3 linked regions of the Oryctolagus cuniculus genome follow. The protein of the gene in region 2 interacts with the protein of the main gene of each other region in a biochemical or structural test. Links are inferred from orthologs where the notes say so. Each region holds a gene or a part of one and is shown on either strand. Other genes may lie near its edges.

Evidence for each region.
Region 1: the proteins of ATF7IP (region 2) and SP1 form a complex in vitro, tested with the Homo sapiens proteins (3 studies listed by BioGRID). The link is inferred for Oryctolagus cuniculus from reciprocal best matches to the Homo sapiens genes ATF7IP and SP1.
Region 3: the proteins of ATF7IP (region 2) and MBD1 form a complex in vitro, tested with the Homo sapiens proteins (2 studies listed by BioGRID). The link is inferred for Oryctolagus cuniculus from reciprocal best matches to the Homo sapiens genes ATF7IP and MBD1.

The regions. Positions count from the first base shown.
Region 1 is NC_091442.1:56,405,863-56,409,509, forward strand, and holds part of SP1 (transcription factor Sp1), read left to right. Parts: intron 1-1,807; coding exon 1,808-2,121; 3' UTR 2,122-3,647. UniProt on the Homo sapiens protein: Transcription factor that can activate or repress transcription in response to physiological and pathological stimuli.
Region 2 is NC_091440.1:112,284,851-112,288,497, reverse strand, and holds part of ATF7IP (activating transcription factor 7-interacting protein 1), read right to left. Parts: intron 3,175-3,647; coding exon 3,086-3,174; intron 854-3,085; coding exon 215-853; intron 1-214. UniProt on the Homo sapiens protein: Recruiter that couples transcriptional factors to general transcription apparatus and thereby modulates transcription regulation and chromatin formation. Can both act as an activator or a repressor depending on the context.
Region 3 is NC_091441.1:27,831,390-27,835,663, forward strand, and holds the start of MBD1 (methyl-CpG-binding domain protein 1), read left to right. Parts: upstream 1-1,446; 5' UTR 1,447-1,704; intron 1,705-2,666; exon of another isoform or gene 2,667-2,736; intron 2,737-2,892; 5' UTR 2,893-2,917; coding exon 2,918-3,027; intron 3,028-4,274. Other genes in the region: CXXC1 (CXXC-type zinc finger protein 1), read left to right, coding at 1-73, 244-396, 481-627. UniProt on the Homo sapiens protein: Transcriptional repressor that binds CpG islands in promoters where the DNA is methylated at position 5 of cytosine within CpG dinucleotides. Binding is abolished by the presence of 7-mG that is produced by DNA damage by methylmethanesulfonate (MMS).

The sequences.
Region 1 (3,647 bases), on a different chromosome or scaffold from region 2:
CCAACCCTGGCTGTTACGGCCATCTGGGGAGTGAACCATTGGATGGAAGATCTCTCTCTCTCTCTCTCTCTCTCTCTCTCTCCCCCTCCCTCCCTCCCTCTCTCTCTCTCTCCCTCGCTCCCCTGCTCTCTGAACTCTGCCTTTCAAATAAATTTTAAAAAGGAACTAGGTTTCGGCCGGCGCCGTGGCTCACTAGGCTAATCCTCCGCCTTGCGGCGCCGGCACCCCGGATTCTAGTCCCGGTCGGGGCACCGGATTCTGTCCCAGTTGCCCCTCTTCCAGGCCAGCTCTCTGCTGTGGCCAGGGAGTGCAGTGGAGGATGGCCCAAGTGCTTGGGCGCTGCACCCCATGGGAGACCAGGAGAAGCACCTGGCTCCTGCCTTTGGATCAGCGCGGTGCGCCGGCCGCAGCGCACCGGCCGCGGCGGCCATTGGAGGGTGAACCAACGGCAAAGGGAAGACCTTTCTCTCTGTCTCTCTCACTGTCCACTCTGCCTGTCCAAAAAAAAAAAAAAAAAAAAAGGCTGCAACAGCCAGGACTGGGCCAAGCCAAAGCCAGGAGCCAGGAACTTCTTCCTGGTCTCCTACCTGGGAGCTTGGGCCATCTTCTGCTGCTTTCCCATGCACACTAGTAGGGAACTGGATCAGAATTAGAGCAGCTAGGAGTCAAACTGGTGCCCATGGGATGTTGGTGCTGCAAAGGGGCAACCCAACTCCCTATGCCACAATGCTGGCCCCTCAAGTGGGATTTTGAAAGAGGAGGATTGATCTCATTATTTTTAGTCTCTGTGTTGCCTCCCAGCCTTTTACCTATGGTTCTTCTCCAAAAATTGGAAAGAATTCCGGTCTTTTTCTGCCTAATACTGTTTGAAGGCAGTGAATTAGCAGTTTCTCTCGCTCTCTTTTTTTTTTTTTTTCCTTAAAGATATATTTATTTATTTGAAAGTCAGAGATTGTCCATCCACCATTCACCCCTCAGATGACTGCAACAGCTAGGGCTGGGCCATGCTGATACCATGAGCTTCATCTAGGTCTCTCACATGGGTGGCGGGGGGCCAGTCCCTTGGGCCATCTTCTTTTGCTTTTCCCAGGAGCATTAGCAGGGAGCTGGATCTGAAGTGGAGCATTTGGGACTGGAACTGACGCCCATATGGGCTGCAGGCATTACAGGTGTTAGCTTAACCCGCTATGCCATAACACCGGCCCCCTTATTATTAGTTTCTTTTTCTTCTTTCTTTTATTTTTTTAAAAGATTTCTTTTTGAAAGAGTTATAGTGGGGGCCGGCACTGCCGAAAGCAGTAGAAGATGGCCCAAGTGGTTGGACTCCTGCACTCACATGGGAGACTCAGAAAAACCTCCTGGCTTCGGATCAGCGCAGCTCTGGCCATTGCGGCCATTTCTGGGATGAACCAACAGAAGGAAAACCTCTCTCTCTCTCTCTGCCTCTCCTTCTCTTTCTGTGTAACTCTGACTTTCAAATAAATAAATAAATCTTTAAAAAAAAATAAAAGAGTTACAGGGAAGTGAGAGAGAGAGATATTTCATGCATTCACTCCGCAAATGGCCACAATGGCTGGGGCAGGCCAGATGGAAGCCAGGAGCTTCTACTTCTCTAATGTGGGTGCAGGAGCCCAGGAACTTCGGCCGTTGTCTGCTGCTTTCCAAAGCACATTGGCAGGGAGCTGAACCAGAAGTAGAACAACCAGAACTCAAACCAATGCCAGTATGGGATGTCAGCTTTGCAGGCAGTGGCTTTACCCAGTTTGCCAGCCCCTAGTTTCTTATCTTCTTTCTCTTCTTTACCTAGGTGAAAAGAAATTTGCCTGTCCTGAGTGTCCTAAGCGCTTCATGAGGAGTGACCACCTGTCAAAGCATATCAAGACTCACCAGAATAAGAAGGCAGGCCCAGGTGTTGCCCTGAGCGTGGGCACTTTGCCCCTGGACAGTGGGGCAGGTTCGGAAGGCAGCGGCACTGCTACCCCGTCAGCCCTTATTACCACCAATATGGTAGCCATGGAGGCCATCTGTCCAGAGGGCATTGCTCGTCTTGCCAACAGTGGCATCAACGTCATGCAGGTTGCGGATCTGCAGTCCATTAATATCAGTGGCAATGGCTTCTGAGATCAGGCACCCGGGGCCAGAGACACATGGGCCATACCTGTCAACCCTGGGATACAAGGTAGCATGGGTCCAAGAGACATGTGGGAGAGTGAAGCCATGAGGCATTAAAATGCATGGTGGTGGAAGAGTTGGGGAAGGCAAACGAGAGAAGCGATGGGGTCCCGGCACCCACTTGTGTGTCATCAGTGCCTTTCTGAAGGCGGGAGACATTAGTGAACATTCTGCTGATGCCACCCTTTGATGAGTGTTTGACCCTGGTTTCTTTTTACACTTCTGACCCCAGCCTCTCCTTCCTGCGTTTCCCTTCTCAGCTGTCTCATGATGGATCCCCCCTTTCCTAAAGCCATCATGCCTTGATAAATATATATGATCATTGAAATACTTTTTAACAAAAAAGATTCTATATTATATATATATTATATATAAAAAGATATATAGAGATGCATTCACAGGGGTTGGCTGGGAGGAGGAAGGAGACCATTCTGTGACCAAAATACCTTGGTCATTTTTTTTATATTGCCTTATTTTCCTATGGCTGAGCCTTGTTGTGACACATCAAGCTTTTCTGTGGATGTTGTCTTGGCTACCCACCAGATTAAGCGTTCATATCTTCAGCTTTTAGTTTAATTATACAAACATAATGTTTTTCCTTTCTTAATTTTGTATTTTTATTTGGGATCAGCTTCTTGCACTCCTTTCCTGACTCCGCCCTTTCTGTCTGCCCCTCTCTCTCCTGGTCACTTCACACTTTGTGTTTGATAGTGATCCCTAGGTGAGGCACTTCTGTCCATCTTTTCAAGACATTAGTCCCAGCAGCAGAATGGAAAACCTTAGAACTCAGGCTGATGCTTGAGGTAGCTGTGGCGGGAGTGCTCAAAGTACTACTGACGCAGGCACCTTCTTGGTGCCGGAGAGTCAAACGCATCTCCCCTCACTAGCTGCTGTAAACCTGAAGAATCGGAAGCCTTTCTGTGGAACTACACAAGAGATGCTTTGAAGGTGATGATCTGAAATCAGTTTGCTTAAACTTTAAAAAGTGGTCAGATGATAGGTAGAAGCCTTCAGTAAGAAAAAGATGTGTTCAGAAGAGGAAGTGACTCATAGGAGTCAGATTCAGAAGTTAGTGGAGTATTTGGACTTGGGCACCATTGTCTTCCAGGGTAACACTAAGCCTTGATGTGTGGAGCTCTGAGTTCAGATCCTGAAAGGAAACATGCTTCCTCCTGAACACCCCCCATTAGTTTCTTTTCCATTCTGTTGTTAAGAAGCATCAGCCAATGAATGTGTTCCAGGTTTCCATTCTGCAGAACTCCAGAGCATGTCCTAGTGGCAAGACAGTTGTTCTTAGGATCTTTTCCCCAGACTCTTCCTTGTATGTACTTGGGTGGTTCCTAGGGGAAAAAGAAGCATGCGATCATGGGAATGATAGCCCAGAACAAAAAGAAATCTTGTCTTACCACTGGTTTATAGGAGAGATTGGGAGAAACCATCCTACTTTCTCCGTGGCCTGATTCCAGAAGAGACTG
Region 2 (3,647 bases):
GGAAAATTACTGAAAGAATATATATAAATGGTGGCTTCTCAAACATTCTCAAATCCCATTTTAACAACTATTTTTCTTACTTAGCTAGAAAATTTACTAAAAAATCTAAAAGAAATTCTATTTTTACTCTGTTTTTCCAATAATCCTAGCCACATCCAAAAGTTGAGTCATCTAAATATCATTAACATACTTGTATTTTTACACAGTGACTTACCAACTCTTGGGGTAGTAGTGCCACTCTGTTCTGCAGGAGATGAAGTATTAAAAGCTGAGATTGGAATTTTCATTTGTATAGGACCTCGATTACTGGATGAACTATAAAGTCCTGATGGTCCTACAGTGGGCAATGAAGTCCTTGTGGCTTGTACAATAGAGTGTGCTGTTGGCACAGCCTGCACAGCAAGCGTTGTTCCTAATGGTGCCGCACTGGCAGGAGAGTTCCTTTGAATACTAGGACTGGGTACAGACGGAGCACTGTTTGGTTTTGTGGGATTTGGCAAGGATGGCAAGGATACTGAATTTTTGGTAAGACCACTAACAGCAGGTGGGCTCTGCACAGATATAAATTCAACGTTGCCAGATGGTTGATTGGTCACCAAAGTCCCTGGATGGCTCTGCAGGAGCTGAGGCTGGGAGGACACCGCAACAGGAACATGCAAAATCACTGGCAAAGATTGTAATGAGATTGTAGGCTGGGGATTTCCACTAGGCACCTGAGTAGAAGCAACAACTGTAGCTGTGTTGGGTGCAGGAAGAACTGAAGCTGGTGTCAGAGAACCCGAAGTTGCTGGAGTCTGCAATTTAGGTTGACTATTGACAACTGTTGGTGGAGTGACAAGGTTGGTTGAAGATACTACAAAAGAAAATGAAGTCTATATTTAAAGAGCTACCTTAATTTATTAGCTAAGACAATATAATACATACAAATCCAACATACTGTGTTGGGTATAGTTTTTCATAATGAAATTTTTCTAAATTTAAATTCTGGAAATTCTTAGAAGTATTCTGAATATATATTGGGTATATCATGAAAACAGTATATAATTTATGATTTATATCTCAACATCAAAAGTCTGAAATTTACCATTTCAAAGTAATTAGCAAAATAACTAAGTAAAAATGTACATTAAAAAAAATAACTGTAAAAAATACTATGAATGCTGTAAATACCAGCAATACATAAATGCAAATAGTAAACCCAGAAAGAGTCAGGACCGTCAACAGATAATAGGTAAACTCTGTCATTATATTTTTTAATTTGGATCATGAGAAACCTGTATTTGTGGACCAAGTTTTATTGAATTCCCTCAACTAATGAAGGAAAGCTCTCTCTTCTGACAATGTACAACACAGAAAACAGCACTGAACAAGGATGGAAGATAAATTAAGAAGACAGTATATACCAAAGTGCAGAAAAGATAAAAATTGTGGCCACTAGAGTTTTACAGTAATTCTGATGTAACTACTTGTGTTTATTCTCCTTGGAATGGGTTTAAAATAGGATTAAGGTTATTTTTTATTGATTTTAAAATCTTCTCAAAATCAGCTACACTAAAAGCAGCAATTATTAAAGTGTAGTACAGGGGTTTCCTGAAACCATTCAGGGACTCAGCAATGCCAAAACTATTTTCATGATAATAATAATGAGAATAAGAAGAAAATATCTGACGTATTCACAGTGTGTTCACTTGCATTGATGGAGCAAAAGCAATGGTGAGTAAAACTTCTAATGCCTTACTTAGCACAACAGTCTCCCCGCCTCATCTGTGGGGGACACTGCAAAGAACCCAGAGGATGCATGAAACATACATGGTTTAGAACCCTCTGTATACTATGTTTTCTCCTAAAAAGTCATACACTGTTTAATGATGGGGAAACAGATGTCACTGTTGTATGAACATCAAAGAATGTAATTAAACCTATAAGGTCAAGACCAATCACTTGACTGGCCTCTTGAGGCAATCAAGAAACTAAGTAAACATGAGAAGTATGAGGCTGCTGCTGGCATAACATGGCATACTATTTTACAGCAAACTTTCTTTTTTATGTTTACACTCTAAAAGTATAAATATAACATAATCATAAATCAGTAACATAGTTCACTTATTCTCATCAAGTATTATGTGCTGTGAATAATCATTTGTGATATACGTTAATATGACTGGCAGCAAAGTGTGCTTATGCCAGCAACACCAAACATGTGAGCAATGTTTTCCACTATGATATTACAACAACTATTCCATCTCCAGAGTTGTTAGCAACTTTTCAGTTCCATTACAGTGTGATGGGACCACTCTGCACAAACCTTAAAAAAACTAGTACTTGCCTGTACCAAAGAATATCTACAATTAGCTAAATGGGCTAGACCTTTTACATCTACATATGCAGCTACTTTAAAAAGCCCATGGAGTAACTGAATTAAAAGGTAAGTTTAGCATGGTTTAAAAAAATCTGAGATCCATATACACATTTTTCATAACATGCATTTTCCATGAACTTCCTTAGTGGCTTTGCTTTACAGGAGACTGCATTTCTTTCAAACACTTCAACCAAACCAATACACCAGAACAGACTGAAAGCAAGTACAGAGCTGAGAATCCAGTTATCTTCAGCTGTTTTAATATACCAAACCAAACATTAAAGATATGTGAATATACAACAATGATACTTTCATATCAGTATTTTTTATTGAAAAATTATGATTTTTCATGAAAATTTTCTCAGCATTACAAATTTTGGGTTTACTATTTTTAAATGAATAAACACTCCAGAATTTTGTTTTAATGTCTATTAAATTTCAACTAATAGTAAATGTCAACTGGTATAATAACCCCACATAAACCATTTTCTTCATAATTAATAATTTGTTAAGATTACGAAGGCATCAAAAGACCAGAAAATTTGAATGTACTACCACACTAGAGATATGTGAATGCCACATACTTCTCTGTGATTCTGAATTTTAAAAATGTTGTACTTAAGACTAATGTGCCCCATTCTTTAGTCATTTCAACCTCAAACGCATGTAAAATAATGAAAACCTTCACCACCTAACAAAATGTATTTCAGTGTTAGGAAATGTTACCTGTATTTACAGGAGTTTGAAAAGATGGTGGTGTACTCTCACTTGCATTTCTTTTGGATTCCAGCATCTGTCTTACTGTGCTTGCATTCCTTTGAAATACAGACACAATAAGTCAACATATATGGCATTCATCAAGACACTAATTGATGTACAGAAAATGTAGTGACTCTTAAAACCACAAACCAGTGTAATGTGTGCATAGTTAGCACACAGACAAAAATTTTAAGTGCTTGGGTTAGGCTATCAGGGAAGAGTCTTGCTCTTACATTCTAACATTATCAATACTTAACCAAAAGAACAAATATAGGTCTTTTACACACACACACACACACAGTCTTTCTTATCCTTCAATAAAGCATTTCTCAACTACTTAAGAGAATACTATTTATGACAAGTAGTAAAAGAATACATAATGGATGAAGAAAGCCTTATAACAAATTAACAAAATGAGTATTAACATGAACAAAAGTAGTATCAAGATAAAAATAACAAATCAGAAAAAGTAAACATACTCAATCCAGTATATCAAACATTTATTTCTACAGAAATATATTCTAAGATT
Region 3 (4,274 bases), on a different chromosome or scaffold from region 2:
ATACAACCCTCAGAGCAAAACATACTGTAAGCGGCTCCAGGTGCTGTGTCCTGAGCACTCGCGGGACCCCAAAGTAAGCATTTCCTCAGCCCCCACCTGCCTCCCCTTCCCTGTTCTTTGCTTCCTCCCTCAGCTCCTGTCCTTTTCCATTTCCTACCTGGCCACTCGATTCCTCCCCCAGGAGTGCGCCCCGCTCCTGGGCTCCTCACCACCTCTGCATCCCCTCCCTGCGTGTCCCTGCAGGTGCCAGCCGACGAGGTGTGCGGGTGTCCTCTTGTGCGGGATGTCTTTGAGCTCACAGGTGACTTCTGCCGCCTGCCCAAGCGCCAGTGCAATCGTCATTACTGCTGGGAGAAGCTGCGGCGAGCCGAAGTGGACCTGGAGCGCGTGCGCGTGGTAGGTTGGGTGCTGGCTGTGGCCAGGGGCCCGCAGGCCCGCAGGCTCCTGTGACTTCTCACGGCTCCCTGTGTCCTTCGGCAGTGGTACAAGTTGGACGAGCTGTTTGAGCAGGAGCGCAACGTGCGCACAGCCATGACAAACCGCGCAGGGCTGCTGGCCTTGATGCTGCACCAGACAATCCAGCACGACCCGCTCACCACCGACCTGCGCTCCAGCGCCGACCGCTGAGCGCACCGGCCCAGGCCCGCCCGGGCGGCCTGCTCCTCCGTTTGTTCGTTCCTCCTTCGTCTGTTTCTTCAGCTGCCCCCAAGTTTCTCCCTGTGCCCAGCCAGCACCTGAGTGCCCATCTGCCCCTACCAGGGGGTCTCAGACTGCGTCCGTCGGTCTGTCTCCGCTCTTGTGCTGGGTGGGACTGTGAAGTTTGCTCACCCTTGCCTCCCGCGGTTTTGTTAATAAAATTTTGAAGCAAGAAGAGGACTTGCTTGATGTGTGCGCACTGTGCAGGCTCCCCACGCAGTCCCTGGCGGGGGCGCCCACTGGCGGCACAGTGTGGCTGCGTGTCCAGACCAGCTGTGCGTGCAGCGGCCGACCCGCTCCTGGAAAGTGATCAGGAGCCCCCGCCGGCTCTCCGCGGTCAGCGGTCGGCGCAGGGCTCGCCTGGGGCGGGGCTGCCACGCCCCCCACGCCCCGGCTACCTGCCATGCGGCACCGACCCCTCCCCTGGAGTTGGGGGTCTGCGCGCCCTGGGGCAGCCAGCGCGAAGGCTCGACCCCAGCTTCCCTCCCTTGCCGGTGACTCCCCGTGGACAGCGGAGGAAATGGAGAACCCAGACCAACCTCGCTGTCCACGCCCCCTCAGGCTCGGACTGGCCCCGGCGAGCGCAGGCGCAAACTAGATGGCCCCCCGCGGGCCGGACCAGCCGCCCGGGGGAGCGAGTCGCGCAGGCGCGCGGGTGCCCGACGGGGAGGCGAGCGGCCGTGGGACGTCAGCACGCAGGCACCGCCCGCTCCGTGCCAGGGGCGCGCGCTGCTGTGGACGTCAGCACGCAGGCGCGGGAGCCTGGCTCGGAGGGCAGTGGCCATCGGGGCTATAGCGCGCAGGTGTCCTGTCGGAGGCGGGGCCCGAGAGGCAGGCAGCGGATTTCCGGTTCCGGGAACAACGAACGGCCGCGGAGGCGACAGCTACTGCTCCGGAGGAGGCGGCTGCAGAGGAGGAAGAGTAGGACTAGGCGGGAGCGCAGGCTGGTTCCGCGCCATGGGCCCGCGGGCCTAGAGCGGCGGAAGCTCCCGGCCCGGTGCCAAGCTGGTGAGACAGCCGTGGGGGTGGGAGTGGAGAGCGCTCGGGCGGAGAATGGGGGGGAATTGACGCTCAGAACGCTGACGGGGAGCAATGAAGGGCCCTGGGCCCGACGAGGGGCGGAATGGCGGCGTCGAATATGGAAAGGGAGGAACGGGGCATTTCGGCAGAGGTCGGGAAGGAATGGGGCTCGGAGCGCTGACAGGTGAAGTGTCAGAATCCTAGGACGGGGACCGAGAGGCGTGGGGGCGGCAGAATGCCAAGGGGAGATGGCGGGGCCGCGGGTTAAGGAGAGAGAAATGGGGGTGCAGAACGCAGGGCGGGAGGGAGGCTAGGACGGGGGCTTGGGAGGACGAGGAGAAAGAGCGGGTGAGAGCACTGGCAGGTGGGGTGGCATGGCGGGGGGACAGCAAGGCGGGGCGCTGGGGCGGGGAGGCGTTCGGGATGCTAGGGCAGAAGTCGGGGTCTCGGTCTGCTGAGGGGCATGCAGGATGGAAGGTGGAGGGGCAGGCGTGGGCAGCAGGGAGGAACTGTGGGCCAGAACGCGGAGAAAGAGGGAAAGGAAGGGGCCGGGGAGCTCTTGGGCTGATGAATGGGAAGAATGAGGAGGCGGTCGGAGGATCTGGAGGAGTGGGGGGCTCTCCCGGCGCGGGGGCAGGGGAAGTCGAAGTCATCATAGTGCGGTCGCCGGGTAGGAGGGCGTCAGAGAAGGCTGGGGCAGCTAACACACTGGAGGAGAGACTTCGGGAACTCCTGGGTGAAGAAGATAGGGTGATGAGGAGATCCGGGCTAGGGGACTGAGGACCAGAGGAGCGGGGTGTCAGAGGGTGGGAGGAATGCGTTCTTGGACTGCGAGCGGACAGTGGGAGCGTCCTAGGTGACAAAGGGGGATAGGGCCCTTAGGCGAGAGACAGGGTGTCCTGTGCCGAGGACCGTTACCACAGGGGGAAGACAGGTTCTTGCGTTGGCAGGGGGAGAAATGACGGACTCTGTCTACAGAGGAAAAGCACACTGAGAACAGGGAGCATCGGCGGCAGGCTGGTGAGGAGGGGGAGGCCAGAGGCACTCTGAGCCAGGGCAGGGGAGAGGAAGGTGGGGATGGAGGCGCGCTTCCAAAGACGGTCTCGCTGTGCATCCAGTGCTTGGTGCGGCCCAGACCTCAGTCTCTCTCGTGTCCTCCCTTCTCCAACTTCGCAGGCTGCTGCTGCTCTCCAAGGCCTCCATGGCTGAGGACTGGCGGGACTGCCCAGCCCTGGGCCCTGGCTGGAAGCGCCGTGAAGTCTTTCGCAAGTCAGGGGCCACCTGCGGGCGCTCAGACATCTATTACCAGAGGTACTGGCAGAGTGCTGTGCACAGTCAGGCGTGGGGCTGGGCCTGCTTCAGGCTGGGGTGTGGTTAGACACTGGCAGATTCCACATTTGCAAATTCACCTGCTTAATAAAATTTATTTGTAACTGAAGTCAACACTCAAGGTGCTTTCGTGGCTATCTGTGGCCGTACAGAGCAGTGAAAAATTGGTCGCTTGATGCATGCGTTCCTAGCTGAGGCTGAACAAGGCCTTTGTGTTTCACCTTTTGGACTGCAGACAAGCGTCCTTGCCCAGTCGACTTCCTACCACGTTTTTTGCATTTCTGGGCTGGTGATTTAAAATGGCCCCCAAGTGTGCCGAAGTCTGAGAAGTGTGTTCTGAGTGTAAGAAGACTGTGATGTGCCTTAGAGAGATAACAGTGGGTTAAATAAGCAGCTTGCCGGCAGGAGTTGCAGCGCCTTTGGCTGTGGAGTTCAGTGTTAGGAGTCCAAAATGTGGTACCTCCAGAGGAAGAAGAGGAAACTTGCTAACGGGTGGGTGAAGCTGCTCCAGAGAGTACAGCAACAGAACAATCTGTAGCACTTGATGAGGTTATGGAAAAGACGGGAAAGCAGCTAAATTCGCGGATCCACGAAACGATGACCGATAAAGCATAGTGGCCAGTATTATGAGGAGAGCCGAAGTCATGTTACCTTGTTTTAGGAAAATATTAAACCCATCTCTGCTAGCGCTGGCTGGCTTGCACGTTTCAAAAGCTGATACGACGTGAAAAATGTTAAGCTTGCATGCGATGCAAGTTCTGCAGATCGGAAGTCTGAGGAAGGATTTTTGAAATACTTGCAAAGTGTTATTATAGGAAGAGAGTTACACGGAAGAGTGGGTTTTCAGTGCCAGTGAGGCCAGCTTACTTTATGAGATCGTTTGCAAACCTGTATAACAAATGTTCTTCAAAGCCCTTGTAAATGAATCATTCAAAGACTGTGCAGCTAATCATTTGTGACAGATAGCTGTTCAGTAAGGTATATTTAAATAGCAGCACATGAAATAAGGTTCTGTTTTGACTAATTGATGAAAATGCGACCATGAAACCTTGTGTTTCCCTAGAAGCAGTGGTTTCATATGTACTTTCTAGAACATAGCTACCGTAGTAATGAGAATTGACCGTCAGTGCGTAAATATAGGAGGTAAACAACATTTACACATTTTAGGATGTGTCAGTGACACAGTGATTGAATTTCCTGTGCTCATCTGGATTTCTTTTTGTATCTGA